Stegostoma tigrinum: one gene and its partner. The protein of the gene in region 2 interacts with the protein of the main gene of each other region in a biochemical or structural test. Links are inferred from orthologs where the notes say so. Each region holds a gene or a part of one and is shown on either strand. Other genes may lie near its edges. The genes, in order: cacnb4a and voltage-dependent P/Q-type calcium channel subunit alpha-1A-like.

Region 1 (16,376 bases), on a different chromosome or scaffold from region 2:
TTAACAACTTACAATTTACTGAACTCAAATTCCTCAATTTGTCAATTAGTGCCGATACCACATGCCATCTCCTCTCTTGAAAGTCTCCCTTATTTATCAGACTGTCCATAAGTTCAAAAGTTCTGCAGCTCCACAATACTCTCTATGCCATTATCAATTCTACATTTATTTATTTAATAAAGAACAGGTTTAACGTAATCTCTAATGCTAACTTATTATTTAATTGCTAAATTTAGAGTGCAAATTAATAACTGAAGACTTGCAATTTATATTCAGAGTCCATGTGACAGGTATGACTCAGTTCACAGGACTCCCACTTCTGAGTCTGGAGATTGTAGGTTGAGGGCCCATTTCAGGAATTGGGCACAAAATATCAGGCTGACACTTCAGTGCAGTACTAAGACAGTGTTACGTTGACAAAAGTGCTGTGTTTCAAATATGATGTTAAACAAGGCCCTATCTTGTCTGCACAGCTGGATACTGGGTTGGCACAGCAGCTCAGTGGTGAGCACTGCTGCCTCACAGCACCAGAGACTTGGGTTCAATCCAACCCTTGGGCAACTGCCTGTGTGGAGTTTGCACGTTCTCCTTGTTTCTGCATGGGTTTCCTCCAGATGCTCCAGTTTCCTCCCACAGTCCAAAGATGTGCAGGTTAGGTGGATTGGCCATGCTAAATTTCCCATAGTGTTCGGGGATGTGTAGCTTAGGTAGGTTTTGGGGGGATGGGTCAAGGTGGGATACTCTAAGGGTCGGTGTGGACTTGTTGGGCCAAAGGGGCTGTTTCCACACTGTAGGGATTCTATGAAGCACTTCACACTTTTATAACAGATCCTGTGGTATAATTTGAAGATGAGCAGCTATTTCTGGTGTCCTGACTAATATGTTCCTTTCAACCAACATCATGAAAACAGATTAACTGGTCATTGTTGTGGTGGCTGGCATGAGGTCAGCCAGGTGAATCTCATAGAATATGAGTGCCCTGATTGGAGCTGTTCACCTCATCCAATCCAGGAGCCCTGGCTGACAGATGTGGTGCCAATATTTAAGAAAGGTGGTAAGGAAAAGCCAGGGAGCAATAGACTGGTGAGCCTGACATCTGTGGTGGGAAAGTTGTTGGAAAGTATTCTGAAGGACAGAATTTACATGTATTTGAAAGGGAAAGGACTGATTAGGGATAATTAACAAGGCTTTGTAAGTGAGAAATTGTGAAACTATCATGATTGAGTTTTTTGAAAAAGTAATGAAGGGGATTGATGGGGCAGAGCAGCGGACACGGTCTATATGGATTCAATAAGGCATTGGACAAGGTTCCTCATGGTAGAGTGGTTAGCAAGGTTAGATCTCATGGAATACAGGAAGAACCAGCCATTTGGATACAGAACTGGATAGAAGATAGAAAACAGAAAGTGGTGGAAGAGTGTTGTTTTTCAGACAGGAGGCCTGTGACCAGTGGTGTGCCATAAGGATCGGTGCTGGGTCCATTGCTTTTTGTCATCTATATAAATGATGTGGATGTGAGCACAGCAGGTATGGTTAGTAAGACTGCAGGTGACACCAAAATTGTTGGTGTACTGGACAGCAAAGAAGATTACCTCAAGAGTACAACGGGATCTTGATCAGATGGGATAATCAGCCGAGGAGCAGCAGATGGAGTTTAATTTAGATAAGTGTGAGGTGCTGCATTTTGGAAAGGCAAATCAGGGCAGGACCTATATGCCTAATGGTAAGATCCTGCAGAGTGTTATTGAACAAAGAGTCCATGGAGTGCAGGTTCACAGTTCCTTGAAAGTAGAGTCGTAGGTAGACAGGGTAGTGAAGGCGGCATTTGGTATGCTTGGCTTTATTGGTCAGTGCATTGAGTATTGGAGTTTGGAGGTTATGTTGTGGCTGTACAGGACATTGGTTTGGCCACCATTAGAATACCACATGCACTTCTAGTCTCCCTGCCATAGGAAGGATGTTGTGAAACTTGAAAGGATTCAGAAAAGATTTACAATGATGTTGCCAGATTTGGAGGGTTTGAACTATAGGGGCAGGCTGAGGCTATTTTCCCTGCAGAAGTGGAGGCTGAGGGGTGACCTTATCGAGATTTATAAAATCATGAGGGTCATGGATCAGGTGAACAGACAAGGTCTTTTCCCCAAGGTGGGGGAGTCCAAAACTAGAGGTTTTAGGTGAGAGGGGAAAGCTTTAGAAGGGATCTAAGAAGCAACTTTTCACACAGAGCATAGTGCATGTATGGAATGAGCTGCCACAGAAAGAGATGGAGGCTGATACAGTTACAATATTTAAAAGGCATCTGGGTGGATAGATAAATAGGTGGTGTATAGAGGGACATGGGCCAAATATTGGCAAATGGGACTAGGTATATTTAGGATATCTGGTCGGCATGGACAAGTTGGATCAAAGGGGTCTGTTTCCATGCTGTACATCTCTATGACTCTGTGTAAACAGGGATGTCAAGGGTTCTGTTCACACTAGGAGCCAGCAGTGTGCTTGTTGAGTCAGTGTTATGTGTAAATAAAGGATGACTTGGTGACAAGACACTGGCCTTTATGGAGTTATTTCAATTGTCATATCAGTATCTGTGCGAGATTACTATTTGGCTGTTACATTTCCTAAACAATAGCAGTAATACACGCCAGGAGTACTTTGTTGGTTATGAAACATGTTGGAATGTTCATGATCATGAAAGGTGGAAATGGGAATGAAATAATAGAAGTCTTTCTTTCTTTGACTTTTCCATTAGCTACTGTATTACTTTTCTCATCACGCTACTCGTTTCATTGCTTAGATTATTATGCTAGTGATAAAAATTGACTAACGTATTTTAACTTATATCATCTGATTTTTAATACCTGGGACCTCCTGTGAACTGTGAATTCTTTTAGAAAGGGAAAATACTGAAATAAGACCATCACAGTGGTGACCTAATCAGTTTGAGCACACTCCATCTGTAAGAATCAGTCAACATTGTTATAAAAAGGCATTGAAACTGAGCGCTATACCTCCTCGTCAGTTCATACCTTTCTAGAGGTAATAGAAATACACAGAAATATACATCAGAATTGTATGTCAGGCGAGAGTTTTTGGACAGAGAACACGTGTGCTGTTTTCTGATAGGTTGAAAGAAATGCAGTGAGAGACAGAGTCTTCCAGTTATACTGTGATCAATTAATTTTCCTTCTCCCCGTCCCAGATATTAAAATCACATGATGGAAGATGAAATTTGTTAGTCCATTTTTACCACAAAAAAGAAACATCCAATCACCATGATCACATTGTCATCTACAAATTTTGCCTCTGCTGAAGACACAATGAAACAAGTGTGGTCTCATATCAAAACCTATCATCTCAAGGACTTCTTTTGAAAGTGCCTATTCTCACTTCTTGTCACCTGGTCATAACAAGGTTCCCCCACAATATACTTATAAGAACCTCTCTGGTGATATCCCATTGTGTCTAAATTGAATTTCCCAAGCTCAAAGTCAATTTGAAATTTGCACCTATACAAATGGCAACATGTTTAAGGATCTCTATCTTCAGATTCACCACAACCAATGCAAAAGTGAGTAATTTCATTAAAGGGGCAGTTGCTATTTCTGACAGCACAAAGCAACACTTCAATCAATTGGATATCCATTCTATATGTTCAGCATATCTCCTTAGAAGTTGAATAGCTATCATCTACAAAATGATCATAGGGCCATAATTAATAATGAGCATCAACAGAAAAATGACAGGAAGACAGCAGCTTCATGAATTGAATAAGGAAAACATGTGATATTAAGATATGTTTTAAATCTTAATAATCCTCTCATCTACATCATTGGTTTGCTTGCCTACTCTAAGACCTAATTTTAGCTACTGAGAGCATACAGAATATGAAACAGCTTTTAAATTAATAGAATCATAGAATTGTACAGTACAGAAGGAGGCCATTTGACCCATCATGTTTGCACTGCTCCTCAAGAGCTACCCAACTAGTCCCATTCTCCAGCCCTATGTTCGTGGTCCTCTAAAGTCATTACTTTCAAATATGTATCCAGCTCTCTTCTGAATCCTCCTATAGAATCCACCTCCACTACTCTCCCTGACTGTGCATTCCAAATCCTAAAATCTCTCTGAGAAAAAAAGTTTCTCCTCCTAGCTCCTCCTGCTGACAATCTTGAAATTGTGATCCCTAGTCACTGACATACCAACTAGTGGAAACAGAATAACCCTCTTCACCCTGTCAAAATTGCACATGATCTTGAACTCCTCAATAAAATCACCTCTTATTCTTTACTTACCTTTGAACTTTCTCCAAGGCTTGAGCATCCTTCCAGGTGCCCAAAGCTAAAAACAAAACTCCGAAAGTGATCTGACCAATGATTTGTAAATGTGTAGTGCTACTTATATGCTATGCCTCTATTTATATACTGAAGCCTATAAGCTTTTTATGAACGGTTTCAAATTGCTTGGCCAAGATTCAGAGAATTGCGCACATGAACCTCTACCCCTGTACTCCCTTCAAAGTTGTATCACTGAGCCTGTATTCTCGCACCATGTTTCTTCAATCAAAATGCATTACCTCGCATTTCATCGCATTGAAATCTGCGAGGTCATTTAGCCCAACTTGACAATGTCCCTCTAAAGTCAGTCAGCATCATCCTCACAATTCACTATTCTCTCTAGCTTAGTATCATTTGCAAAATTAGAGATTTTGCCCTCAACATCCATCTCCAAATCGTTCGCATAAATCAAAAAAGGCAAGGGTCCCAACACCAATATCGGGGAAGCACCACTTTGAATTTGTCTCCAATCTGAGAAATGGCCATCTCTACTTATCATCCGTTACCCAACAACTAATCCATGCTGTCAAAGACACATTAATCCCAAACATTTTTAAATTTGTTAACCAAACTGCCATGTGGCATGATACCAAATGCTTTCTGAAAGTCCAATACACAACATCCACAGCACTGCCCTCACCCATTGTCTGAATCTTCATAAATATAATTCAAAACTATGTACATACATGTAATAAGTTTTCTTTAGCCTATAATACCATAATCACTCAAATGGGAGTTTTCAGGTTCAAAGTATCAAAGTGAGTGGATACAGTGCATGGAATTGTTGCAATTGCTGAGTTCAATAATTTGAATGCAGATTTCTTCCATCACAATGTAGCATTGATGGCCAAGGAGAATCATCTTATGACTGCATCAGACCAAGTCTTCAATGTATAATTCAGCTTGATAGCTGAACAGTGGTGTTTTGCCAGAGCTCCTACCATTTGAATGCATTGTGAAACCAAGGCCCTCAGACAGATATTAAAGATTGATACTGCTAATCAGAAAGAACCACCAAACCCTCCCAATGCCATTTCTGATGTTGCTTCCTCACCCAAAGCTACCATAAATAGATTAATTGCTAATTTGCCTTATTGTTGTTGGTGGAGTATTGCTCTGCGCAAAATGGCTGCTGCATCTCACCTTTACAGTAGTAAATATGGTACAGATTACCTGAGAGCTCTGTGACATCACTGATGACATGATTAGATGCTATATAAATGTGTTCATCAATAAAAAAAAATTTTAAATAAACATTATGATTAAAGATTTGCACTTGTGCACAATATAGCAAAACATAAATGTGAAGAATGCTTCTGTGATTTTCATTCAAAGTTGTGTATGTGTTTAAAAACGCAGTACATCTCTAACACAACTGTTGTAGATTGTAATCCACTTTATTTTAGCGTCTAATCACATCATCAGTTCAAGAGGAACTCAGGATAAGCAGTAAATGCTGACAATTTCACTGACATCCCATGAATGAATAAAAATATTCATTTTCACAAATGTCATTTTCTCAATCTGCCCAGCAGCATGGAATCATGAGGGTGGTAACATACTAAACTCTAGGCATGTCACAGCTTAGTGACACAAGTATATTCAGTATAGATTCTTGATCTGAACGTAGAGCAGCAGCAACATTTCTTAATCTGGAACATTACAGTTGTTAGAGCAGAGAAGCTCATTCCAGAGTGTTCCTGTCTGGCATAACTTTTTTTTGGCAATACTCATTTCAGACGGTTGTAAATGGGGTCATCCACTTTTCGACCTTTTGCGTTTAGTCATGACATTAAGCCAATCAAAGGGAATCTGAAACAAAAAATCACCACCGCTCCTAGCTGCCCACAAACGCCTCCTATCCCCAACTCACAACCTTCAAGTCATAGTAGAGTCATACAGCAGTATAGCTTGGAAACAGACGCTTCGGTCCACTCATTCATGCTGACCATATATCCTAAATTAATCCTGTCCCAATTGCCAGCATGTAGCCCATATCCTTCTAAACCCTTCTGCTTCATATATACATCCAGATGCCTTTTAAATAGTGTAGTTGTACCTGTCTCCACCACTTCCTCTGGCAACTCATTGAGAGTCAAAATTATCTCTATCAATCAACAAAGTCACATCTCTAAATCCGAAACCCTTCTTCAAGCTTGTAATCATTATGCTATTAGTGATGACACTAATGGATAATGCTAATTAGACCCAATTTATATTATAACAGCTTTCTCAGATTTAAATAAAAGGCTTTAATGGAAAGAAAATAGAACGTGCTGGCAAAGTCAATATATCTCCTTATCAAAAAATATAAATTGTGCCATATTTAAATTTCTTCAGGGCTAAATAGGCTATCAAGTGTCACAAAGCTGCAATGTCACGGTGGTAGTACTTTTAATTAATGGGTTCAAAAGTTCAGGAATCGCTGTCATGAGCATTTACCGAGGATTTTCTGCTGACGAAGTCCACGAAGTGCAGGGAGAAGAATCCTAGTCTTTGCTTAGGTCCCCTGATACACAGTGGTAACGTCCCTACCTCTCGTCCAGGGGATCAGGGCTCAAGTTCCGCCTCCTCAGGAAAGGTTGATTGGAAAACATCTATCGTGCCCTACCTGTCGGAGAATGAAGCTGGTGGAAGTTGTCTCGGACGATGTGCTTCCATCGGAACGTTTCAACCTGCTCCTCCTCCTGTTCACCCGGGTCAACTTGCCGAACATGGGAGGAGGGAAGAGAAAGGGGATACGTGAATGAATTGCTGCTCGATTTAACTGTCAAATCATATAACATTGAATCAGTGGGCCGTAGCAATAACATACAACGCGTTAGAAAAAATGAACTGTCTTTTCTAATAAAAAGGAATCAGCCTTACAGAATTAATTTGCAAAAAAAGTTTCTCTTTACAATGAGAGGGGAAACCTTAGAAAAAGAGAAGTTGCATTCCTTATCTGAGCGTGCTCACGGAATGGAATAATTAAAAGTAGCACTTTTTTGATTATTTCAACATCAGTTCACGCTCCTGTTTAGGCTACGGTCATGCAAAATAAATCACAAATTGGCGTGCAGGAGAAAGGAGCCTGTCAACCCCCCCCCCCCCTAACAATTTCAGAAACGCAAACAGAAATTGCTGGAAGAGCTCAGCGGATCTGGCAGCATCTGCAGACAGGAATCAGAATTAAGGTTTTGGGTCGAGTGACCCTTCCTCAGAGGTTAATAATTTGAGGCAATCCCTTACCTGAAAGATGGGCGGCTGTAGCCCATCGCCTGGAATGTCTTTGGTGAATAAAGGTCCAACTCCGGACATCTTCAGATAGATCATGAGCTCGGGACGCTGCTGGAGCTGCTTTAGCTGGAATGAGGGATCCAGTCCATCGAGCTGGCGCTACTCCAGCCCCTGGTGGCTCTCACTAGCCGCTGGAGCTGGCCATCGAGACGTGCTGTCTGGCTGATGGAAGAGGGAGGGGTGAGTTACCGTACCCACCGTCTGATCCCTACACCTCCCACCCCTCCCCCTCAGGAATTCACTCAGTCCCAGGCACGGCCGTAGCTGCCCTCACCACCCCCACAGCCCCCTGCAGCCAGTCAGGAAGGTGTCAGGAATTATAGGAGGAAACCGGGGCGAGAAATATATCCGCCTAGGGAGGGGGAGGGATGACAGGAGGAGGGGTCAGTAATGCAGCGAGGAAAATTAGGAACCGGGCTGGGAAGAATGACCTTGTGCAATCTGGCCTCCTGTCCGCGGAGATGTGCCTGGTGTGTTCAACGCAGTTTGTACAGTCAGGGCTGTTCACCTTCGGGGAGCTGGCGGGGAAATTACAGCCTTTTTTTTCCTCCTGTGCGAAAGACGTCCCAATCTAACGACTGCAGCAAACGCATCGTTTTTTTGGATCATTTGCACCGCCAGGAAGAATTACGAGTGGCAGGTCATCATGTTTGTAATTATTACCACGAGTCTTTATTATAGAGAAGTGCAGATTAAATAATCTCAGCGCCTCGGCAGTGCTCAGGTGCACAATGTTTGACACATGGCTGTGCATTTCCTGAACTATCCCTGGCGTGGATTTAAAATCCATCCCCCCCCCCCCCCGCTACCTACAGAGGAACGGTCACTCCATTCGAAGCGTTCATTCTGATTTCTCGCCACAGAAGCTGTCAGACCTGCTGTGCTTTTCCGGCGATTTCTGGTTTTGTTTTTTTTTGGGGAAAAAATGAAGCTACTTTATTCCATTTCAGGACGGTGACACCAGTTGATCTTTCCAGGGACAGTATCTGCATATACAGCAATGATACAATAACAGAAAGCGATTGTGCCAGTTTCTGAACTTTTCAGAACCCCAGTGTCGGCGCTTCAAAACAACACGACGAGCAGGAGAAAACCGGCGTTCACTTTTTTTTAATTTGAATTTATGCATTCCCATATTGACGCGGTTGCCACTGAGGCCAGCATTTATTATCCACCTCCAATTGTCCCCGAACTGAGTAGCTTGCTAGGTCATTTCACGGGGTAGTTAAGAATCCGGAGTCACATCTGGCCCAGATTTTTTTCCTCATTTTCATTCACAGAGTGTGCACTCCACCGACTGGATCCGTGTTTATTGTCCATCCCTAATTGCCCAGAATTTGCTTAAAAGTCAAACACATTGCTCTGGGTCTGGAGTCACATGTGGGCCAGACCGTGTAAAGATGGCAGTTTCCTTCCCTCAAGGACATTAGTGAATTTTTTTTAACCCCCAAACAATCATCATGGGATCCTTAATTCCTTTTTTTTAAAGAGTTGAATTCACCTACCACTGCAGGATTCAAAACCAGATCTCAGGGTTTGGGTCATTGGATTAGTTGCCTACCATGACCACTAGGCCTTCACCTCCCTATTCAGGTAAGATTGACATAAACATACCTTCCTTTCTTAAAAGACTCTATGACCATCGCTGATCATCACTTTGGTTTCAGTTTCACGTTCGCAATCCACCTCCACATCCCTGAGAGACTTGAGACATGCCTATTCGCAGCCTTAAGAATATTGGTGCATGTATTGATACATGCACAACCCTCTGAGTTAGTGAATTCAACAGATTCAGAGCCCTTTCAGTGAAGCTATTGCACCTCATCTCAGTTTTAAACAATTGGCCCCTTGCTTTTAGGCTCTGTTCCTAGTTCTCTATTGCTAGGTCAGGAAAAAACAGCTGCCAGCATCTGTCAGTCTAACTTATGGTCTTGAACATTTCATTGCATTCACCTCTCTTTTGTCTAAACTCCTGAAAGCGTAGAGTCAGACAGTCATAGACACGTACAGCTCAGAAATAGACAATTGGTCCAACTTGTCCATGCCAACCAGTTACCTTAAATTAATCTAGTTCTATTTGCAAGCATTTGGCCCATATCCCTCTAAGCCTTCTTATTCACGTATCCATCCAGATGCCTTTTAAATGTTGTGATTGTACTAGCCTCGACCACCTCCTCTGGCAGCTCATTCCATACACGCACAACTCTCTGCATGAAAAAATTGCCACTTAGGCCCCTTTAATATCTTGCCCCTCTCATCTTAAGTAAATGCCCTCTCTGATGAAGGGTCCAGGCCCGAAACGTCAGCTTTTGTGCTCCTGAGATGCTGCTTGGCCTGCTGTGTTCATCCAGCCCCACATTTTATTATCTTGGAATTCTCCAGCATCTGTAGTTCCCATTATCTCTTAAGTAAATGCCCTTTAGTTTTGGACTCCCATATCCTGGGAAAAAGGCCTCAGCTATTGATCCTATCCATAACCACCATGATTTTATAAACCTCTAAAAAGTCACTCCCTTAGCCTCTGATGCTCCAGGGAAAATAGCCACAACCTATTCAGCCCCTCCCCATGGCTCAAACCCTCCCACCCTGGCAACATCCTTGCAAATATTTTGTGTACCCTTTCAAGTTTAACAACACTCTTCTAAGAGCAGGGAGAGAAGAGTTGAATGCAGTATTCCAAAATGTTTTCAGCCGCTAGAATGAATTCATAGGATTTCTTTTCAATGACTATCAAAACAACATGAGGATTATTGTGTGAAATAGGATAAAAGGGTGTCCATTTGTAACATAAGGATAATTGTGGTCCAGTTTGCTGTAAGTTCTTTGTTGTTCTATATTCCATATTTGAAATTTAAATAGATCTAATAGAGGCCATGGAGTTGGTCATTGTGCTTTAATTTAGGAACACGAACCTTAGCCAGAGTTTTTCTTCTGATCACTACACTTATTAGTACCAGGTGATGATAACTCTCAAGTGTTACAGCATTGCTACCTTTAGAATGTCCACAAGTATGCAATGTTGAAGATCACAAAGGAAGAACGACATTTCTACTGAGCAGGAAAGTACCTGCAGGACAAAACTTCAACAAGAAATCAGTGACTTCAGAAGAGAGATATGCAAAATTTACCACAGAAAATTGGAAAGAAATAAATGGCTAATTAGGACCAAGTTGAGTTGCTTGCCAGCTTGATGCAATGGGAGCTGCAGGTTATCAAAGGTCTGTGATCATCATTCATGCAGGATTTTCATACATGACACTGAACTCTCAAGATTCTGGAATGGGATACCACATTTACTTTGTGTAAAAATATACAGCCTGGGTAGAGTAGGGTGGCATAGTGGCTCAGTGGTTAGCCCTGCTACCTCACGTGACAGGGACCCAGGTTCAATTCCAGCCTTGAGTGACTGCCTGTGTGGAGTTTGCACATCCTCCCTGTGTCCGCATGGGTTTCCTGTCAGTGCTCCAGTTTCGTTCCACAGTCCAAAGATGTGCAGGTTAAGTGGAATTGGCTACACTGAATTGCCCTTAGGGTTAATGCATGTGCATTCCAGTTGGGTTAGCCATGGGAAATGCAGGGTTACAGGGGTGGGGAGTTGGGGTTCTGTGTGGGATGCTGTTTTGAGGGTCAGTGTAGACTTGATGAGCCAAATGGCCTGCTTCCACACTATAGGGATTCTATAATTCTTAAGTTGCTCTGCTTGTAATAGAAGACATAGATTTAAAGTGATGTGTGAAAGCAGCAAAGGTGATGTTAGAAAAACCTGCGCACAGCGAGCAGTTAGGGTATGGAATATAGTGCCTGGAAATGTGATCGAGGCAGTTTCACTTGCAGCATTAAAAGGGCATTGGATGACTATTTAAAATAAAATAGCATGCAGGGGTATGGGGAAAAGCAGCAGATTAACATGCGGTTAAAATTGCTCATTTGACGAGTTGGTGCAGGCACGATGGACCATAGCCTCCTTCTGTGTCATAACAACTGATCATTAAATGATAAAGCACAGTTTTGTGCTGATTGAAAAAGAGCTATCCAGTCTTATCTCAATGTCCAGCTATTAGTCTATACATTTTGGTACCTTAAGTGCAAAATCAATTTTTTGCAGTGAAGACTTCAACTTTAACACCCTTTCAGGCAGTGAATTTGAGATCTCCACCACTCACTGAGTGAACAAAAAATGTCCTCCACTGCTCCCTAATGGTTCTGGGTCTGCCTCACACAACACCAGTTATTGACTTCTCTGCTGAGGGATTTTGGGGGTCTGTGTGGGATGCTGTTTTGAGGGTCAGTGTAGACTTGATGGGCCAAATGGCCTGCTTCCACACTGCAGGGATTCTATAATTCTTAAGTCTGTAGAGGCCTATCACTGCAAAAAATTGATTTTGCACTTAAGGTACCAAAATGTATAGACTAATAGCTGGACATTGGGATTTCCAACCCAGTCTGTAGAGGCCTATCGTAATTTCATGCAACTCAATGAAAACTCTCTTCAGCCTCTTCCACTCAAAGAAAATCACAACAGCCTATCTTACCTCTTAGCCAAAATGTTGCAGGTGTCTGCATGTTCCTCTCTTTGGTAAACTTGCTAACATTTTTTTTCAGTTACTATGCAGCAATTATGCACTGATGTCAAGGTTATCTTTTGGTGACTGGTACAGCTTTGTTGAAAGTTAAGGTATGGGACTCGCTTTTGCGTTGCTGCATTTGAAAGATCTAGGGTGAAAGATCTAATATTTGTTTCATATCATTGAAATGCTGGAAATCAATGTGAAGTTGTTAGCTCATGCATTTTCTCCTCTGTTGCATTTATATAAAGGGCATATTAAACAAGCTAGGATTAAAAATGGAAAGTGCCTGTCCTCACGAGATCACCAGCTGAAAAAATGCGTCAAGCTGTTTAAGGGAGTGCAAACTGGATTGTTTGATTTACTAGTCATAAACAGGGAGATCATGTTTGAGTGATGATGAATACTACCAGCAACTCCTGAGTACATTTGTCACTAGATGTCACTGCTCATTTCATCTGGAATCTGTGTCTCAGCAGTAATCCCATGCATTCTGTTTTTTTATAGATTTTGAGTGATAGTTTTCTAATGTAGAGAGAATGTTTTAGTAATTATTCTAATCCATCTCATTCAATGTATAGCATGGCACTGCAGTGCTGAGCTGGGCAATCATGTGCCAAATGCCAAAGTACACTATCTAACTCCAAATAAAGAACTCTGAAAAAAGTTCATAGAATATTGATTTATGTAATTCAGAGGATAGTTAAATATTTTGTGAAATCTATGTGGTGTCTATTGTGTTTATTGACTCTTAAATCTGTGTGAAATATGACTTATAACAGAATGGAATAAGTGGTTTGAGAGGAATATCAGAATCGTGAAGATAGATAGATTTTAATCAGTAAGGGAATCAAGGGCTGAAGGGGAAAGACAGGAAAGTGGAGTTGAGGATTATCAGATCAGCCATGATCTCATCGAATGGTGGAACAGACTCAGTGGGCTGAATGGCCTACTTCTGCTCCGACGTTGTATGGTCTCCAGTAGGACATCATAACATTTTCAGTGCATAAGAATCCGTATCAATATAATGATTTATCACATCTTGGAGAAGCTCCATATCACTCATAGCCAATGCGTTAGATTTTTAAATATAAGTACTGTTGCAGACCAGCACTGTCAGACTGTCTCGCTGACACTGATTTACCACCAATCTTTGCCACATTGCATGTTTTTTAATATTATCCTTAGCTTCCCTAGTTATTTATCCCCTCCTTAGTGTCCATTTTCAGCACTAATTTATATTTTTGCTGTGATTCATGAACTATTTTCTTAAAATTTTACCTTTGCCCCTCAACATTGTTTTTTTCTGATAAACTCCTTTATGAGTTCTCTCTGGTGAACCCCAGCTCTCGTCCCTATGTAATTACCCTTATTTAAGTTTTGTACAGTTGTTTCAGACCCCAAGTCTCTCACTATCAAAATTAATTCTAAACTCTGCCATGTTATGGCCACTGTTCCCCGACTGATCGCTTACTCTGAGATCATTTATCACACAGCACCAGACCCAAAATAAATTACTTCTTGGGTTGGATGTGCCAAAACTCCCCAGAGGGATCATGTAGCTAAATTATACACTTCTGTGTGAAAAACAGAAAGGAAGTGTGTGAATTAAATGGTGATATATTGAGAAATGGGCATATACAAAGGAATCTGGGTGTCTTTGTACACCAGTCAATGAAAGTAGGCAGGCAGGTGCAGCCAGCAATTAGGAAGTCAAATGATATATGAGCCTGTACTGCAAGAGGTTTGAGTTCAGCAAGAGGGATGTCCTACTGCAGCTACACAGGGACTTAGTGAGACCACAGTTAAAATATGCAGCTGTAGCCTCCCTACCTAAGAAGGGATATGATTGCCATAGATGGAATGCAGTGGTGGTTCACTAGGCTGATACCAGGGATAGCAGGATAGTCCCATGAGGAGAGATTGCTTAGACGAGGCCTGTATTCACTAGAATTTTGAAGGATCAGAGGGAATCTAATTTTGAAACATATGAAGTTCTAACAGGATGGACAAAGCAGACACAGGGAGGATGTTTCCCCTAGTCAGGGAGCCTAGAATCAAGGGACCCTGACTCAGGATTCAGGGTAGACAATTTAGTACTGAGGCAAGGAAATCTTTATTCACTCCAAAGATAGCGGAATTCTCTACTCAGAAGCCTGGGGAAGCTAAGCCACTGACTATATTTAAGAAAGATATAGTTACTTTTTCAGATTTTAAAAGTGTCGAAGGTTTTGGGAGGGAGTAGGAATATGGCATTGAGAAAGAGGAATAGCCATGATAATATTGAATGGTGGAGCAGGTTCGAAGGGCCGAATGATCTACTTCTGCACTTAGTTTCTATGCTTTTATGTTTCTACAAAAAATTCTTTCAGGAAACAGTTCTGCATACACTATATGCATTCTTCCTCGTGGCAACCTTTGCCAATTCGCTTTTCCCAGTTTACATTAAGATTAAAGTCATCCATGATGAGTGTACTGCCTTTTTCACATGCCTCATTATTTCATGATTTGTGCTTATTTCAACTGTACAGCTACTATTAGTGCCTGTAGACAATTCCCACAAGTGCCCTCTTCCCCTGTTCTCCTCCACGTCCAATCCAACATAATTTCTTGTTATCACACTAATTGTCATCTTTTATTAACACATTTAACCCTCCACCTTCCCTTCTTGCCTGACCTTTTAAAAAATCACCCATGACTGTATATTTAGTTCCCAAATTTGATCTGCTTGTAACCATGTATTGGCTATAAGGTCCTACCCATTAACCTGTATTTGAGCCATTTATTTTATTCTAAATACTATGTGAATTTCAGTAAAGAGGCATTGATGTTGCCTTTTTCCCTCATGACCCATTCTATTGCTGCTTTCTAATGCTTGCGCATTTTGTCCCTTCCTATCCTGCACTGCCTTGCAGATCATTATCTCTGAGCACTTCAGGAATATCAAATATGTATTTGTACCAGATCTTTGCCCAGCTTTGATGATCAGCCCCTAGACATGACTGACAGACCATGATGCTGTGTTTTTGCACCTCCCCAAGTAATAATATGCGATTCCCCTGAGAGCTTGTATTGGTCCGATAAGATTGGCCACTGAACACTTCCCGAACTGATTCAGGACAAATCCCCAGATTTTGAGCATTCCAGATGGATGACTGACTGTAAGTGAGCCACTATTGTGTGTGGACTAAACTTGTAACTGATGTTACTGGCACCCTCCTGTCAGACAGTACCACCCACTTAACAACTAGGGACTAGCCCCCACCAGTCTGTGGGTGTTACATTGCTGTCTCAGTGTGCAATGCTTGTATTTGTGATAAAGTTCCCCCAAGAACATCAGTGATGGCAACCTTTTGCTCTGGCTCAAGTACCTATGTCTAGGTAGCGGCATGGTGGCTCAGTGGTTAGCACTGCAGCCTCATAGCGCCAGGGGCCCAGGTTTGATTCCAGCCTCGGGTAACTGTGCGGAGTTTGCACATTCTCCCTGTGTCTGCGTGGGTTTCCTCCGGGTGCTCCAGTTTCCTCCCACAGTCCAAAGATGTGCAGGCTAGCTGGATTGGCCATGCTAAATTGCCCATAGTGTTCAGGGACGTGTGGGATATAGGAGAATGGGCCTGGGTGGGCTGCTTCAAGGGGCAGTGTAGACTTGCTGGGCTGAAGGGCCTGTTTCCACACTGTGGGGAATCTAATCTAATCTAATTTAATCTAACAGGCATAGCATGGAATGGTAAGGCAAGGCGTAGATGGTGCAAGGATGCATGTGGGCATAAAATGATTGAGTGCTAACAAAACAAGTGAGCAGCTCTGAAATGCAACCTGGTCCTACTGGATTCTTGTCCATGCGAAACAAGTATCCCTGCTGCAGCCTTCTCAATGCTAGCTCTCACTGTGCCCTGCAGTGCAGGGCTGCACCTCATGAGTGTCCTGCCAGTGTATCGGGGAGGTGCCATGATGGCCATGATGTGTTGGCAGGTACCAGATGCCACTGTCTGAAGATGAAGGGTGCATGCAGCTCTGCCCATGAACTGTCCCCTGAGCAGTTGCTTCCCTGTGCCGAAGATGGAAGTCGTTTAGAGCAAGTGCTGAGCGGAATCCACCAGGTACATGGTCTGTACTTTCCTAAGCATCTATCTTATTTAGTGACTCACCCAATTCCGAAAGGAGTCTGAATAATCAGAAGGTGAGTTGTATTAACAAT
Region 2 (16,631 bases):
GGTCAGGTTGCAAGTGAACAGGAATGCATTGACAATATGCTGCCCACCTGCAGGGAAGCAGGAGAACTTCCAATCTGACTGTTGTGATACGATTTTAATGATTAGGATAAGTTGATACTATGCTTTTAAAAAAAACTATTTTTTAAAAAAGCATGCTAGATTGTAGGCGTTTATAAATAAAGGCATTGAATATAAAAGCAAAGGTATGCATATTTATAAGTTACTGGTTAAGCCTCAGCTGGAGAATTGTAACTTATTGGGTGCATCAAACAATTTATTAGGAAAAGGAGTAGATGAGATTTACTGGAACGGTAGCAAAGATAAGGTTCACAAAGATTGGAGTATCTAGGGTTCATTTTACAGAAGAGGTTAGGGGATCCAGTAGGTGTTCAAAATTATAAAGGGTTTTGATCAGCATAGATGGTAGCAACTGTTGCAACTAATCCGAAGATTGATAACCAGGATGCACACATTTAAGATGATTGGCAAAAGCACAATGAGATTTTTTAAGTTTTATTTTATGTAGTAATTTATGCAGTGCCCAAAATAATTATGTAAACAAATACAACAATAACTATCAAACAGGATAAGGTTTGGGAATTAAATAGCTCTGTCAAAGGGCCTTCATGGGAAGGGTAGATTGCATAGTTTCTTCTGTGTCATTAGACTCTGCAGCTACAAAATCTCAAATATATATGCCTGTTGTTGCAAAATATAAGAATATATAAATAATTGATAGCTATTGTAACACTATTAGCTTAGTGATACATTGGAGAGGTGTGGTGGACAACGAAGAAGGTTACTTCAGAGTACAACAGGACCATGATCAGATGGGCCGACGAGTTGCAGATGAGTTTAATTTAGATAAATGTGAGATGCTATATTTTGGTAGGGCAAATCAGGGCAGGACTTGTACACTTAATGCTAAGGTCCTAGGGAGTGTTGCAGAACAAAATGACCCTGAAGTGTAGGTTCATAGTTCCTTGAAGGTGGAGTTGCACTCAAGGTAATGAAGGTGGTGTTTGGTATGCTTGCCTTTATTGGTCAGTGCATGGAGTGCTGGACTTGGGAAGCGATGTTGCAGCTGTACAGCGCATGAGTTAGGACACTTTTGGAATACTGCATCTAATTCTGGCCTCCCTGCTGAACATACTGTGAAACGTGAAAGGGTTCAGAAAAGATTTACAAGGATGGTGCTGGGAATGAAGGGATTGAGCTATAGGGAGAGGCCGAATAGGCTGGGGCTACTTTCCTTGCAGCATCGGACTCCAAGGGATAACCTTATAGAACTTTATAAAATCATGAGGTGCGTTGGATAGGAAGAACAGGGGAGGTCTTTTCCCTAGGGTAGGGGAGTCCAAAACTAGAGGGCATAGGTTGAAGGTGAGAGAGGAACGATTTTTCATGTAGAGGGTGGGGTGTGTGAGAAGTGAGCTGCCAGAGGAAGTGGAGGAGGCTGGTGCAATTACTACAGTTAAAAGGCATCTGGATGGATATGTGAATAAGTAAAGGTTTAGAGGGATATGGGCTAAATACTGGCAAATGGGAATTTACTATTTCCATGGTTGGAACACCGTATTGAGAAATTAGGACAAGCAACCTATTTTTCAAAGCTGGACTTACACAAAGGATACCGGCAGATACCTTCATCCACGGGAGCAAAGAAAATTTCAGCTTTTGTAACACCAAATGGAGTGGACAAATTTAAAGTCATACCATTCGGTATGTAAAATGCACCAGCAACATTTTGAAGACTAACCAATAAGGTCAGTGGGATTACCCAATTGTATGGTATAAATCGCTGATCTGGTGATTTTTAGTCACACATGGAAGGAACATTTGCAGCATTCATCTCAATTGGTCGAACATCTTCAGAAGGTGAGCTTGGTGATAAAGCTGGCCAAGAATGAGTTCATAAAAGCCCAAGTCACGTTCCTTGGGAATGTCATTGGACATGAACAAATGGCTCCACCGGATATGAAAACAAATGTTATCCAGGAGTTTCCCATCCATCGATGAAAAGGGAAGTATTACAATTCCTGGACGGAGCAGTTTTTTAATTGAAATTTAGTACCAAACTTTAGGAGCATGGTTGCTCCACTGACTGCCTTCCTAAGAAGTGCAGGAAATTCCAGTGGACAAGAGGATTATCACAAGGCAGTTGGCAGCCTGAAAGCTGTGCCAACCACCACCCGAGTATTAGCCATACCTAATTATGCAAAGCTATTCAAAGTGGCTATTAACACTAGTGATTTGGGTGATGGTGGTGTACTCTTCCAAGATGACAAAGAGAAGATAGCAAGACCTATTGGATATTTTTCCAGTAAGTTAAATATTCATCAAAAGGAATACTTCACAATTGAGAGAGACCATCAGTTTGGTGTTGGCATTGCAACATTTATAAAAACCAAAAGAAATGCAGATGCTGTAAATCAAGAACAAAAACAAAGTTCCTGGAAAAGGTCAGCAGGTCTGGCAGCATCTGTGGAGGAGAAAACAGAAGTTCTGAGGAAGGGTCACACCTGACGCGAAACATTATCTCTGTTTTCTCCTCCACAGATGCCACCAGACCTGCTGAGCTTTTCCAGCAACTTTGTTTTTATTTCAACGTTTATGTTGCCAATACTAATATACTCATCAATATATACTAATCATAACCCTTTTACACTTTTGGAAAAATGTAAAAGGTAAAAATAGCATACTCTTTATAATGGAGTTTATTGTTACAGATATTTAAATGTGAAAATTATACATGCTGCAGGATGAGAGAATGCAATTGCCGAAGCATTGTCACTATTTTGAAGGAAATTAAGGTGTCCGGTGGAGGAAGAAAGGGATTGAGATGAGCTGTATTATTGAATGTTTGTGTGCTTAGAATCAATGGTTATGTACAGTGGTGTACCAAACAGTGTAAGACTAAAGATTTTTTATAAGAAGAAAACCATCTTTGTATATTGGCTGTTCATTTTTAAGGGGGTGGAGCTATGTTGATACTACAGCTTTTAGAGATATATTTTGTCCTTTTATTTGAAGAGAGGTTTTCAACAATAGGCATTGAGCTGTTTCCTCCAAGTCAATAAAGTAAACAGCTTGAGGAGCCTTGGGGCTTTTTATTTAATTTCAAACAATAGAAGTGGCATGAATGAGTGGAGTCAGGCTCCCACAGAACCGGGGTTATAGTTCAGCTTTCAGCAATTATTGAGTTTTGAAGTTGGCTATGGAAGCTCTGTCTCACATGTAGTTCTGGCAGCAGAGAGAGAATCTGTTTTACTGAATTTTCTTTGCCAAGGGTGTGTTTACAGGGTGTTACTAATATTGGAGCAGCTGCTGCTTAGTAGTTAAATAATCTATTATTCTTTTCGGTTTTCCAATAGAGTTAAAGTTACACAAATTCTTCTTTGTACTGTTTGTATTTTAACTGTGCAGTAAGAATAAACTATGTTTTGCTTAAAATTGAGTAGCGTACCAACCAAATTACACCTAGAACACGGCACCTTAAAGAAGGTAAAAGTTAGGATGTAGGCTATCTCTTTGATATGTCTGAAAGGGGTTTGGTCTGGTCCAGTCCACAACCATGTCCAAACTTAGGGTCACCAATAAATCCAAGGAATTCAAGGTAAACCTTTTGACAGTGATGGGATATAGAAAATGATATGGCATGGAATGCTGATGCAAGTATTAGAGATACATTGCAGGGGAAAATAAATTAAGGGAGGAAAAAGGAATAGAGGAATACAAAATGAAGGCTAAAGGAAGAAGTGTGGCAAGAAGGGCATAAAACATCACATAAACCAATTACGCTTTTTTCTATGATGTTAATTGTATCCAACTATGAATTTTAGCTTCTCTGTGGACAGAAACTTTAAGATATTCCAAGGGAATTTCTAAAACAAAAATTAATGAAATTAAAAAAGTTAATCTTGGAAAATTATTCACTACAAAAAAAATTCTAGGGAGTACAAAAATACAGTTAGGAAATGAAAGAGGCAGAGAATGTAAAAAAGCTGTGGGAATAGAAAAGAAAAATCAAGAAAGCCCATCAACATGAATATATAAATGACGCAATTAGATATCTTTAGGTTTGATAAATACAATAAGAGAACGTACAGCAGGCAGTGAAGAAAGCTAATGGCATGCTGGCCTTCATAACAAGAGGAATTGAGTATAGGTGCAAAGAGGTCCTTCTGCAGCTGTACAGGGCCCTGGTGAGACTGCACCTGGAGTATTGTGTGCAGTTTTGGTCTCCAAATTTGAGGAAGGACACTCTTGCTATTGAGGGAGTGCAGCATAGGTTCACAAGGTCAATTCCCGGAATGGCGGGACTATCATATGTTGAAAGATTGGAGCGACTGGGCTTGTATACACTTGAGTTTAGAAGGATGAGAGGGGATCTGATTGAGGCGTATAAGATTATTAAGGGATTGGACACTCTGGAGGCAGGAAGTATGTTCCCGTTGATTGGGGGGGTGGGGAAAGAGTCCAGAACTAGAGGACACAGTTTAAAAATAAGGGGTAGGCCATTTAGAACAGAGTTGAGAAGAAACTTCTTCATCCAGAGAGTGGTGGATATATGGAATGCTCTGCCCCAGAAGGCAGTGGAGGCCAACTCTCTGGATTCTTTCAAGAAAGAGGTGGATAGAGCTCTTAAAGATAGTGGAATCAAGGGTTATGGGGATAAGGCAGGAACAGGATACTGATTGTGGATGATCAGCCATGATCATAAATGAATGGTGGTGCTGGCTCGAAAGGCCGAACGGCCTACCCCTGCACCTATTGTCTATTGTAATTTAGAATTAATGTATCAAGAGGGACAATATTGTTGTGCATTATGTTTGTACAAAGCTTTTGCAAAACAAATGACATGTATTTTCTAATTTATATATTTCTTATCTGTATAATGCTGAATATAATTTACACCATAATTTTAATATGTGTGCAAAGCAAACTTTTCTGACTGGTTTCCATTTTTCAGCAAATCTGTACAAGTGAGCACACGTGGTGACATGCTGTTTTCCATTATCCACTTACTTTACTGTGTCTCACAAAAGTCCACCATATAATTAACTTTAACTTGAGCAATGCCATTGTACTCCATAAGTGTTGCTTCTCAAACTAAATATTTAATTAATAATACCTTTAAGGTTAGACTGAAATTTTGCCTAATGAAAAAGTTATCCATGCTCTTCTATATCATCAATTAATTCCAGCAACGTGAGCATTACAACTTCTGATATACTTTAAAATCGTGACAGACCATACAAACAACTATCATGCTGTGGCACAAAAGGAGAAACTCTTAATACTAGAGTGGTAAATCAAATAGTACAGGTATATTTAAGGACAAGTTAGGCAAGGATTATATGGTGAAGGAAACAGATGATGACAATGGTATATTTAGGTGAGGTAAGATAGGAAGAGGCTCATGTGAAGCAATGAACAGCATGGACTAGTTGGGCCAAAAAGCCTGTTTCAGTTCCTCACGATGTACAAAAAGCCTGTTTCAGTTCCTCACTATGTAATCCAATGGAATTAAAAAAAACTCTTAGTTACCTACCTAATAACAGAAACAGAGGTATGTCTGATTGAGTATAATTTGATACTGTTAGCTTCACGCCAATGCACAAAAAATTGAACAATTTAAATTTACAGCACTTGGCATTTACAAGTGATAACAGTTGCAACAGGTCAGTGATTAGGAACTGGACATCTAATGGGAGAGATGATGGTGGTGGTTAGTGGGGTATGCTGGGCGGCGGGGGGAATCTCAAAAGACAAGAAAGGTCTGGAAATATGTGAAACATGAGGCTGATGGGGGTACATTTACTAAGAAAGATGTGGGCAATGAGGCCCAGAGAGTGAACACACTGCAACCAAAACAAAACTGGTAACAACAGGACCTCACACAAGAAGCAGACTGCTCAGCGTACTGGAGGGTGTATAAGGAATGGAGTAGGACTCAGAAAATAAGGTTCTACAGGTATTTATAGGGGAATGGGGAATATCAAATCTGAAAATTAATCCTCTGCGGTGCAGAAATACAAACAACTACAGAGGAGGATCTTAATGTCGACAAAAACATGGAACTGCAAGGATAACACTTGAGAAATTCAGCCACTGAAACATTAAGAATAATTAAGCCTTCATTAGGAAGGGAGTGGAAGAGATTAAAGTTTCCTCTATTTTTGATTGTAAATATCCTACGTGAAATCAGTTTAATGGTCTAAATCTACTTCCTTAAGAACCAAAATCTTGAAGATGTGCAAGGGGTTACTCTTCTGAGATAGGGCAAATTAAAGTCTCTACGTAATACCGCAACTGAAATGCTTGGTTCTAGTATTCCACAGCACCAACACCAGCAGTCACAGAAGAGGTCAGGTAAGCGTTGGATATAAATCAGTATACATAGGATATGGTATTAATTCTCCTAATAAATGTGCTTGTTATTTTTTCCTAAAAAAAAGTCAGTCTATTTTCTTTCACAGTGCTCAAATGACTGGCAAAAGAAAGCAACCATGCAGGTACAGCAGGCAGTGAAGAAAGCTAATAGCATGTTGGCCTTCATAACAAGAGGAATTGAGTATAGGAGCAAAGAGGTCCTTCTGCAGCTGTACAGGGCCCTGGTGAGACTGCACCTGGAGTATTGTGTGCAGTTTTGGTCTCCAAATTTGAGGAAGGACACTCTTGCTATTGAGGGAGTGCAGCGTAGGTTCACAAGGTCAATTCCCAGAATGGCGGGACTATCATATGTTGAAAGATTGGAGCGACTGGGCTTGTATACTCTTCAGTTTAGAAGGATGAGAGGAGATCTGATTGAGACGTATAAGATTATTAAGGGATTGGATACTCTGGAGGCAGGAAGCATGTTTCCGCTGATGGGTGAGTCCAGAACCAGAGGACACAGTTTAAAAATAAAGGGTAGGCCATTTAGAACAGAGTTGAGGAAAAACTTCTTCACCCAGAGAGTGGTGGATATATGGAATGCTCTGCCCCAGAAGGCAATGGAGGCCAACTCTCTGGATACTTTCAAGAAAGAGATGGATAGAGCTCTTAAAGATAGTGGAATCAAGAGTTATGGGGATAAGGCAGGAACAGGATACTGATTGTGGATGATCAGCCATGATCATAATGAATGGTGGTGCTGGCTCGAAGGGCTGAATGGCCTACTCCAGCACCTATTGTCTATTGTCTAAAAGCTGGATAAAAATCTTACACAAGTGGAGTTTGAGCTGGTATTACATAAACAAAATCATTAGCACCTAGGCTGCACCAAAAAAAAATGCAGAACACACACTTTTCAGAACATGAGTAAAGAATATGGATTAAAATCAAAAAAGATGAATTAACCTAAACAATTCCTAGAATTCCCAGTGCCAGAAATTCTAAGACACATGTACCCATTGTCATTTCTTTTCAATTCTTCTGCTAAGTGTGTGTGGATATAAAGACATGAAAAAGGAACAGATTAGGACTTGGTACCAGTATAGACTTTCAACAATCTGTGCATCTTATCCCGATGATCATGTGTTCATTGGTGTGCATGTGACCAAGTGAGCACAGGCATGAAAAAAAATCCTATTCATCACCACAACCTCTCTGAATGGTTCCTTAAAATAGGTACAGCCCCACGTCAGCAACACCAGTTAATGCATCCTTCTCCCATCAGGCATTTAACTAGCTCAGATTCACTACAAATATAAAAGTATGCAATTATGCACCAAATAAAAGGTTTCTTAAATTTATTCTAAAGCTATGATCAGATGGGGTGTACCAATAACATTTTTTTTCAACTGCAAATAGCTGTTTATATATCCTTAAAGTGAAATTGGCTGCATCACAGTGTGGAGGAATTTTTAAGCATAGCAACATTTTTGGTAGTGATTGGTTTTATTTTGTTTTTTTTTTGCAAATAGTCCTCTCACTGCAATGGCAAAGCAATCGCCATCCAATTTACATGAAGGGCCAGTCACAGAAAATGCTACCATTATACGAGTGGAACTGACATTGTACTATCATTTATGCCCGCGAGACTGACATATGTACTTTCTACTGTGAAATTCACATCATTTTGATTTTTTTAATCAATCGATTTACACTATTTGCTTGCATGTAAGGTATTAAAAGATAATCAATAAATTAGACAAAATAAAAAAAGGATATGGCCATTCAGTGATCTTTTTGGCATATTTTCTTACAAAGTTGTCTTCACTGAAGAGAAAGAGAGATCTGTTAACTGTGAAGCAGTTTTGTCGGACTGGGATAGGATTGTAGAGAGCCATGGTCCGGGCTCTTTGGGCCATCGACTGCTTGTACATCCTTTGAGGTGCTCCTGGCGGTCCGCCCTGACGGCTGCCGCCGCGTCCTCCGCCTCCTTGGCCGGCTCCATACCTGGCCGGCACCTCGTCTCCAAATCTCGCCATTCTATAAACAGATGCCAAAGATCACCATTCAGTAGATAAATACGGCAACTCCACATTACATCCCATCTGCTCCAACACTGGTGCACATGCAATTAGTTTAGATTTTTGCCCTGTTTTTCTTAGGTTTTCATTGTCCAGTGGCTAATTCTTCATAAGACTGGGTCATTTGTAGATTTAAGAAATATTTTCCCCTCGTGTCAAAAATCAAATATATGATCTCGTCGTTTTTGCATCTGCAGTTTTTTTTACTCCCTCGATCGCCTTTGCATCATCTGCATCTCAAAGCTGTAGAATCCCAGAGTAAAATCCACACAGCCTCCCAGGCAAACATCCACCATCTACTCATGCCTTTCATCGGTTTCCATCAGATACTGCATCGCCGAACATTTTTCGTCCTCTCTCGTGTATTTATATTAATCAGGATCTGGACTGCGAGTACCCGATCGACTGGTGAAGCGTAAGCAATGGGAAGCATCTGATCAGATTTATGCAGCCAACCAACAGCCCACAGCATCAAAGCTAGCCACATGATTCCTACTGCCCAATGAGGGAACGAAATCTGATTTTATTCAAAAAAGCTCAGGGAGAGGAAAATCAAAAAAAAATTTCTTTTTTTGTAAAGTCCACCCTGTTTTCGGAGAATGCGGCAGCAAAATTTGCTTAAGATATCAACCGGCAACATTACCTGATGGACTAAACGCCAGATCGAGTTATTGGTCTTTAAGTATAAATCTTCCACTGGTTCAAATTTCATAATGCCAAGAAAAGCAGTACGAGGAATTTAGTGGAAATAGGGTGCTTTTCTATTTCGATCCGTACTCTCTGAAATTCTTATCAGTTCTAAAGCTTGCAAGGTAACACTCTAACATTGTGTCTAATAGTCCTTTGGTGGGATATAACTGGAGTAAAGTCGAAGCTTTTAATCGTGCATTCAAATACTAAACTAAAAGCAAAACAACATTCGATGTCTCATACAGAAGAAATGTTGTTTTCCTTTTACTTTGGTATTCCTTGTGAACTGTTCTGATGAGTACAAGATAAAAAGCTTTGATGAAATGTGTTTTTCAGCAATAAACAAAACTGTTTAATTGCATCTGCACCTTAATTTCAATCAGTACCTTGACACAATATTTCTCGTTCTTAGTCATTCAGAAATATGTTTTATATGGTATTCTATCATCCCTTTCTTCCTTTGACTTTCAGCCCTCGGCCCCATCCCCTTAATGTGGTATGTATCTAAACCAAAACAAAATGCTGGAGAAACTCAGCAGGTCTGGCAGCATTTGAAGAGTGAGAAATAGAGTTAACATTTTGAGTCCAGTGTGACTTTTCAGTGTGAAATGAAAGAGGAACAGCCAGGGGAGGGTAGGGAATGTGAAAAAAATGACTATTCTCTGAAGTTGTGGAACTCAGTATTGAATTCTACAGGCTTTAAAGAGCCTAAGCAGAGGTTGTTCCTCCAGCTTGTGTTAAATCTCATTGGAATACTGTAGAGGGCCAAGGGTGGAAAAGTTAGCATGGTAGCAAGATGGTTGAAAGAAACGACATGCAACTGGAAGGTTGTCTCCAATGCAGCAGAAAAGTTCCACAAAGTGTTCACACAGACTATATTTGGTCTCATAAATGCAAAGGAGGCCACATTGTGAATAGTGAATATGGTAGATTAGACTGAACTCGCAGAATGCTACCTTACCTGAAAGATTTGGTTGTAGGATGAAGAGAGAGATGAAGGGACAAGTGTTACATCTGCTGCAATTGCATGGTAAGGCGCCATGCAGGAGTGAGGAAGTGTTAGGAGTGATGGACGTGTGGACCAAATGTCATAGAAGAAATTATCCCTGCAGAATACTGGTAGTAGATGAGAGGGGAAGATATCTTTGGTGGTGGTATCCTGCTGTGGCAGAAATGGCAGAAGATGAACATGGAAACTGGTGGTTTACAAAGTGAGGACAAGAGGAACCCTATTGTTATTTCAACAGGTACAGGAAGGGGTAAAGGTTGAATTGTGAGAGATGGATCATATATGATTGAGAGGCCTGTTAATCACGGTGAGGGGTACTCACCCAACTTCTTAAGAATTTTAATTGCACACTAAGTACTTTATCTGACAGCCCGTTCTATGTACAATCATTTATTCAATGTTAAATGTATGTCTTTGATTTTGACATACCTCTTCCAAATTTAATATTCTGCTTTTTTATACATTACAAATTGTTTTGGAATTTTAAAGCCTTGTTTAATATGTCCACTCTTTCGTAATATTTTTTATGTGCTGAAATATCTTCAATTCATAAAATCTTTCCATTTAAATAAGTACAACAATTCCTTCAGTTCCCCTTCAGTCATGAACTTTTAAAGTGCCTTCATATTGATTAAACAAAACTGTCAATAATGAGCTTAAATAAATTACCAGGAAAAGCCATCAAAGCAAGCAGAATAAACTAGTATAAAAGGCATCAAGATAAATTCCAGGAGCAAAACAGAAACTGAACATCACCTTATAACATGAAACAGGATCTATCATGGATTCCATCTCTCAGAGTTACAGTGCACAAATCTTTTGATGACTGTAAATGTCATAGCTTTAGTTTGCTATATTTTTGATTGTGAAATAAAACAGGAAAAGGTCTGTTTTGAAAATGAAGAATTGTGGAAAGGATTATTGCACTTCTTAAAATGTTACGAAAACTCATTGTAAGTGCTGTTTACACTGCTGTTTGTTCAGTCAGTAGGTTTAGACACAGATGAGCTGGATCTAGGGATTGCTTTTTTAAAAATTCACTCGTGAGATGTGCGCATCACAAGCATTTAATGCCCAACACTAGTTGCCTTTGAGAAGGTGACACTGACATGCCTTCTTGAGCTGCTGTCGTCCACATGCTGTGGACAGACCCACAATGCCAATAGGGAGGAAATTCCAGGACTTTGACTCAGTGACAGTGAGGGAACAGTGATTTATTTCCAAGGATGGTGAGTGCTTGGAAGGGAACTTACAGGTAATGATGAGCACAAAATGAGATTCAACCAGCAGTAAGTAGTTGATTGATCAATGGACTGATGACCAGTTGGCAATGACAAAGTGCTTCTGCCGGCCAATAATTATGTGATTGGCACAAGCTGTTCAGCTACTTGGGAGCCAGTGAAGATATGGTCAGAAGCCATTGGATCTCTGGAAAGGAAGGTGCTGTTCTTTACTCTGTAGTAAAAATAACCTTAAACCTGAAGAAAGCCTGTTTATTTCTGGTCATAAGATGCTGCAAGTTGTAGATCTTAACTAAAATGTCTGAGACTTTATATGTATGAACTATTTGCTCTGTGCCTTCAGCAATCGAGTAAAGGTACCTGCAGAAGGACTATCAAGGGCTAACAAATCCTGACAAGTCAAAAGAATCATCTCGGCAAACCCTGTGAACACAGACTATTGAACTGCCTTCCTAGCCTTTACCTTTACCCACAACATTCATGTTTATTTTAGAACTACAGATGCTGGAAATGAAAAGCAAAAACAGAAATTGCTGGAAGAACTCCACATGTCTGGCACTGTAACAGAGTTAATATTTTAGGTTTAGTGAACCCTCTGGCCAGACCTTGGAGGAGCTCCACAAGGAGGTCCTGTAAAATGCATCTAAAATGGGTGAGTCATCTCCACAAAGTATGTACAATTTACCCTATCAAGCGTTCACAACTCCTATACAATGTTCTAGGTAAAAATTTTGCATGAATATTTTCCAATCAGTGAATCTTCCTTTGAGTGAAAACTTATCCATGATTCAGTTCCAGCCTGAAAGCAAACAATGAACAGAGAACTGAAAGTTGTATTAAGCTTAATTCCTTCAACTGTTTGCTAATAAATGGACAACTCCTTCACTTCAACTGTCAAAAGATTACTGAACTGTGTCTTCTATTGCTTCTATCAGTATGTCGACCAGAACAAAATTGGCTAGTATCTTGCTAATGCACAGGTGAGTGTTCAGTTTGTGTCTTGTACACTAACTCTCCAATTAAGGAATTCACTTAAAGCCATTCTCCTGCCTTAACGCTACACTTATTCATTTTCAGATAACACTCTGAATGCTAGAGTTGAACCTACCTCTACCACACTTTTAAGCACCGCATTTCAAATCTTAACCCACGCACTGTGTGGGGTGGGGGGGGGAAATCTTGTATTGCTTTTTTTTGTCAATTACTTCATCTGTGCCATTTTATTGTTGATCTTTTCAAGAGTGGAAATAGTTTCCCGTACCTGTTTAGATATGTAGGTCATCTAGATAAAATTACAATATATAGTGTGTGTGTGTATGTATATATATACACACACACACACACACACACATATATAGTATCTTAGTATATACGTAAAACTACATGACCTGAACACTTATTTCACAAAGTTAACCTCAATGTTTTTAATACGTGAAGGTACATTGGGCAGTGTTTTTTTTATGGAACTTAGATTCAATTTCAGTCTTAGCTGAAAGGATGAAAGCCTCTTCTCTACTAGGCATCTTTTAAGTAAAAAGGGAAGTCTGCATTCGGTTCCTAATAAATGTGAACACATATCACGAATGTCCATAGGTTGCAATTGATGCCTACTTTACAGAGATGGTTATTATAGACAGAGGAAAAAAATGACAGTATCAATAAATTGTTGTCAGATGTTATCAAGCACATAATCTTATGGCCCAATAGTTGAATACCAGCAAAGTATTTATGTCATAGGAATCGGGAAAATCTCCCCACTTTTTGAAGTCAAAATAACATGATTATGCTTGTTGGAAGCCAATTATCCCAGCACAATTTCAGGAAATCCTCAGGTTAAATATTTTCTAATCAACCTGTTCAGACATGTCATTTTACACATCTGGTGCAGTTGGAACTTGAATCTGTGCCTCCTGACTCAGTGGCAATGGCCTAGTGGTATTATCACTGGACTGTTAATCCAGAGACCCTGATAATGTTCTGGGGAGCCAGATTCAAATCCTGGAATGGCACATAGTGGAATTTGAATTCAATACATATCTGGAATTAAGAGTCTAATGATGACCATGAATCTATTGTTGGAAAAACCCATATGATTCACTATTGCCCTTTAGGGAAGAAAACTGCCATTCTTACCTGGTCTGGAAACTTAGCTGCATGTGCCTCCTGATCCACAGCAATGTGGTTGACTCTAAACTACCCTCTGGGCAATTACAGATGGGCAATAAATGCTGCCTGGCTAGCAATGCCTTCACCCTGTGAATGAATTATTTTAAAAAACTACCGTACCACAAATGGTTCTTCAGGGTAGTATCCTTAGTTCAAAAATCTTCAGCTACTTCAGCAATGACTTTCCTTCTGTAATAAAGGTTAAAAATGTTTTTGACTATTTAAGATTGCAGCATTCACTACCATTTATAGTTTCTCAGACACTGAAGCAGTCTGTAGCCATACACAGCAAGATCTGTACAATATTCAGCCTTGGGCTGATAAGTGGCAACTAATATTGGGAAAAAAAACAGAAAATGTCAGTGACCACCTCCCACAACACAAAAGCCTATCATTGCCAGTGACATTTAATGGTATTACCATTGCTGAATCTTCCTAGCATTAGCCATTGTTCAGTGATTTAACTGTACCAGCCTATAACAGCAGATCAGAATCTGGGAATTCTTAAACAAGCAACTCATCACCTGACTACCCAAAACTAGTATGCCATCTGTGAGGCACAAGTTAAAGAGTGATAGAGTACTCCCTACCTACCTGGATAAATGCTGTTCCAACCACACAAGCAACTCAAAAGCCTGCTTAATTTGTTCCCCACCTTAAGCATTCAATCTCTTCATCCTGATACACAGAGGCAGCATTATAAAGAAGCATTGCTGTAGTTTGCTAAGCCTCCAAGAGTTAACAACAAATGCTGCCCTTACAAGTGTTGCACATATTCCATGAAAGGGAAATAAAATCAGTTGATATAACTTACACTGTTTGCCTTAAAATCTTTGCATAATTTTGAACAATCCTTTTAGACCTGTCCATAACATAAATAACTGAATATACCGCAAGAATTTGAGTGTTTCAACATAAGTGTATCCTCCCATCACTCTGCAATCTTGATAAATCAATGCTGCAGCTTACATACGACTCCAATATTCCATCTATATTGGCTTGTTCAAAGATGTATATGCTAAAAAGAAAATCTTGCAAAGTAATTCAGTTATGAACTAATCACTATATACTCATTACCACTCATTATTGTATTCAGTCCTCCTGCATGGAACTCAGCATTCAATTCATCTTAAATAAAAACTGAAAGAACTGCAGATGCTATAAATCAGGAACGATCAATTCGTCTTGTTACAATCCCAGACCGGATCCCAAGTTGATCCAATTAGGAATCACATCTTATTAAAAATAGGTGGAGTATCAGCAGACTATCTGGACATGAAGGAACATTTTAGCAATTTCAATTCAACTGCTGTTCTTCCCACATTTTATTGTAGAAGGTGTCCAAGAACACTGATCAGGACACTTCTTCTCCCAAAAACAAAGACTAAATTGTATACCTAATAATATCACCCCATCTATTATTTTTTTAAATTCAGTACATATTGGAATCAAATCTGAAACTTTGCTGGTCTTTACGCCCGAATATCATGCCAAGAAATACATATTCAACAGAAGAAAATGATGAGTTCATACAAATGTTTAAATATGAATGAAAAGTCTTGTGTTACGTATTTTAGTCCTAAAGAACAACTTTAGATGCTCAAAACATTCTGCTATGATCAGCACTTTTACAAATGACCAGTATATATTAGATTAACCGAGTCAAAAATTTTATCACTTAACATGCAACACAATCAAGGAAACACTCTTTATTGTACAATGAATGATCCTTTATAAGAAGCTATTACTACATCATAGGAGACAGAAAAGGGCCTCTATTCTGAAACATCAATTTTGAACAAGGAGGAGGTGCTCAGCCCAGGATTAAGACACAGGAGTGGAAGTAAGGCCATTCAGCCCATCAAGCCCACTCCACCATTTAAATCATGGCTGATGGGCATTTCAACTCCACTTCCCTGCACTCTCCCCGTAGGCCTTGATTCCTTGAGATCAATGATTTGTCAATCTCTGCTTTGAAGGCATCTAACGACCCGGCCTCCACCGCACTCCGTGGCAACGAATTCCACAAGCCCACCACTCTCTGGCTGAAGAAATGTTGTCTCATTTCCGTTTTAAATTTACCCCCTCTAATTTTAAGGCTGTGCCCACGGGTCCTAGTCTCCCCACCTAACGGAAACATTTTCCCAAGAGTCCACCCTATCTAAGCCATACATTATCTTGTAAGTTTCTATTAGACTTCTAAACTCTAATGAGTACAATCGAGGATCCTTAGCCGTTCATCACACGTTAAACTTACCATTCCAAGGTTCTTCCATGTGAATCTCTGCTGGACACTCTCCAGGGCTAGTATGTCCTTCCTGAGGTGTGGGGCCCAAAGTTGAACACAGTATTCTATATGGGGCCTAACTAGAGCTTTATAAAGTCTCAGAAGCACATCACTGCTTTTATATTCCAACCCTCTTGAGATAAATGACAACATTACATTCACTTTCTTAATCACGGACTCTACCTGCAAGTTAACTTTTAGAGAACCCTGGACCAACACTCCCAGATCCCTTTGTACTTCTGCTTTATGAATTTTCTCACCATTTAGAAAATAGTCCATGCCTGTATTCTTTTTTCCAAAGTGCAAAACCTCACATTTGCTCACATTGAATTTCATCAGCCATTTCCTGGACCACTCTCCTAAACTGTCTAAATCTTTCTGCAGCTTCCCCACCTCCTCAGTACTACCTGCCTGTCCACCTATCTTCGTATCATCGGCAAACTTCGCCAGAATGCCCCCAGTCCCTTCATCCAGATCATTAATATATAAGGTGAACAGCTGCGGCCCCAACACTGAATCCCGCGGGACACCACTCGTCACTGGTTGCCATTCTGAAAAAGAGCCTTTTACCCCAACTCTCTGCCTTCTGTCAGACAGCCAATCCTCAATCCAAGCCAGTAGCTCACCTCGAACACCATGGGCCTTCACCTTGCTCAGCAGCCTCCTGTGAGGCACCATATCATAGGCCTTTTGGAAGTCTAGATAGATAACATCTACTGGGTTTCCCTGGTCTAACATACTTGTTACCTCTTCAAAGATTGAAATAGCACTAAGAATTC

What was found.
Region 1: the proteins of voltage-dependent P/Q-type calcium channel subunit alpha-1A-like (region 2) and cacnb4a form a complex in vitro, tested with the Homo sapiens proteins (2 studies listed by BioGRID). The link is inferred for Stegostoma tigrinum from reciprocal best matches to the Homo sapiens genes CACNA1A and CACNB4.

The regions. Positions count from the first base shown.
Region 1 is NC_081360.1:87,467,099-87,483,474, forward strand, and holds the start of cacnb4a (voltage-dependent L-type calcium channel subunit beta-4a), read right to left. Parts: upstream 7,850-16,376; 5' UTR 7,650-7,849; coding exon 7,566-7,649; intron 7,039-7,565; coding exon 6,946-7,038; intron 1-6,945. UniProt on the Homo sapiens protein: The beta subunit of voltage-dependent calcium channels contributes to the function of the calcium channel by increasing peak calcium current, shifting the voltage dependencies of activation and inactivation, modulating G protein inhibition and controlling the alpha-1 subunit membrane targeting.
Region 2 is NC_081388.1:22,035,724-22,052,354, forward strand, and holds the start of voltage-dependent P/Q-type calcium channel subunit alpha-1A-like, read right to left. Parts: upstream 8,868-16,631; 5' UTR 8,418-8,867; coding exon 8,158-8,417; intron 1-8,157.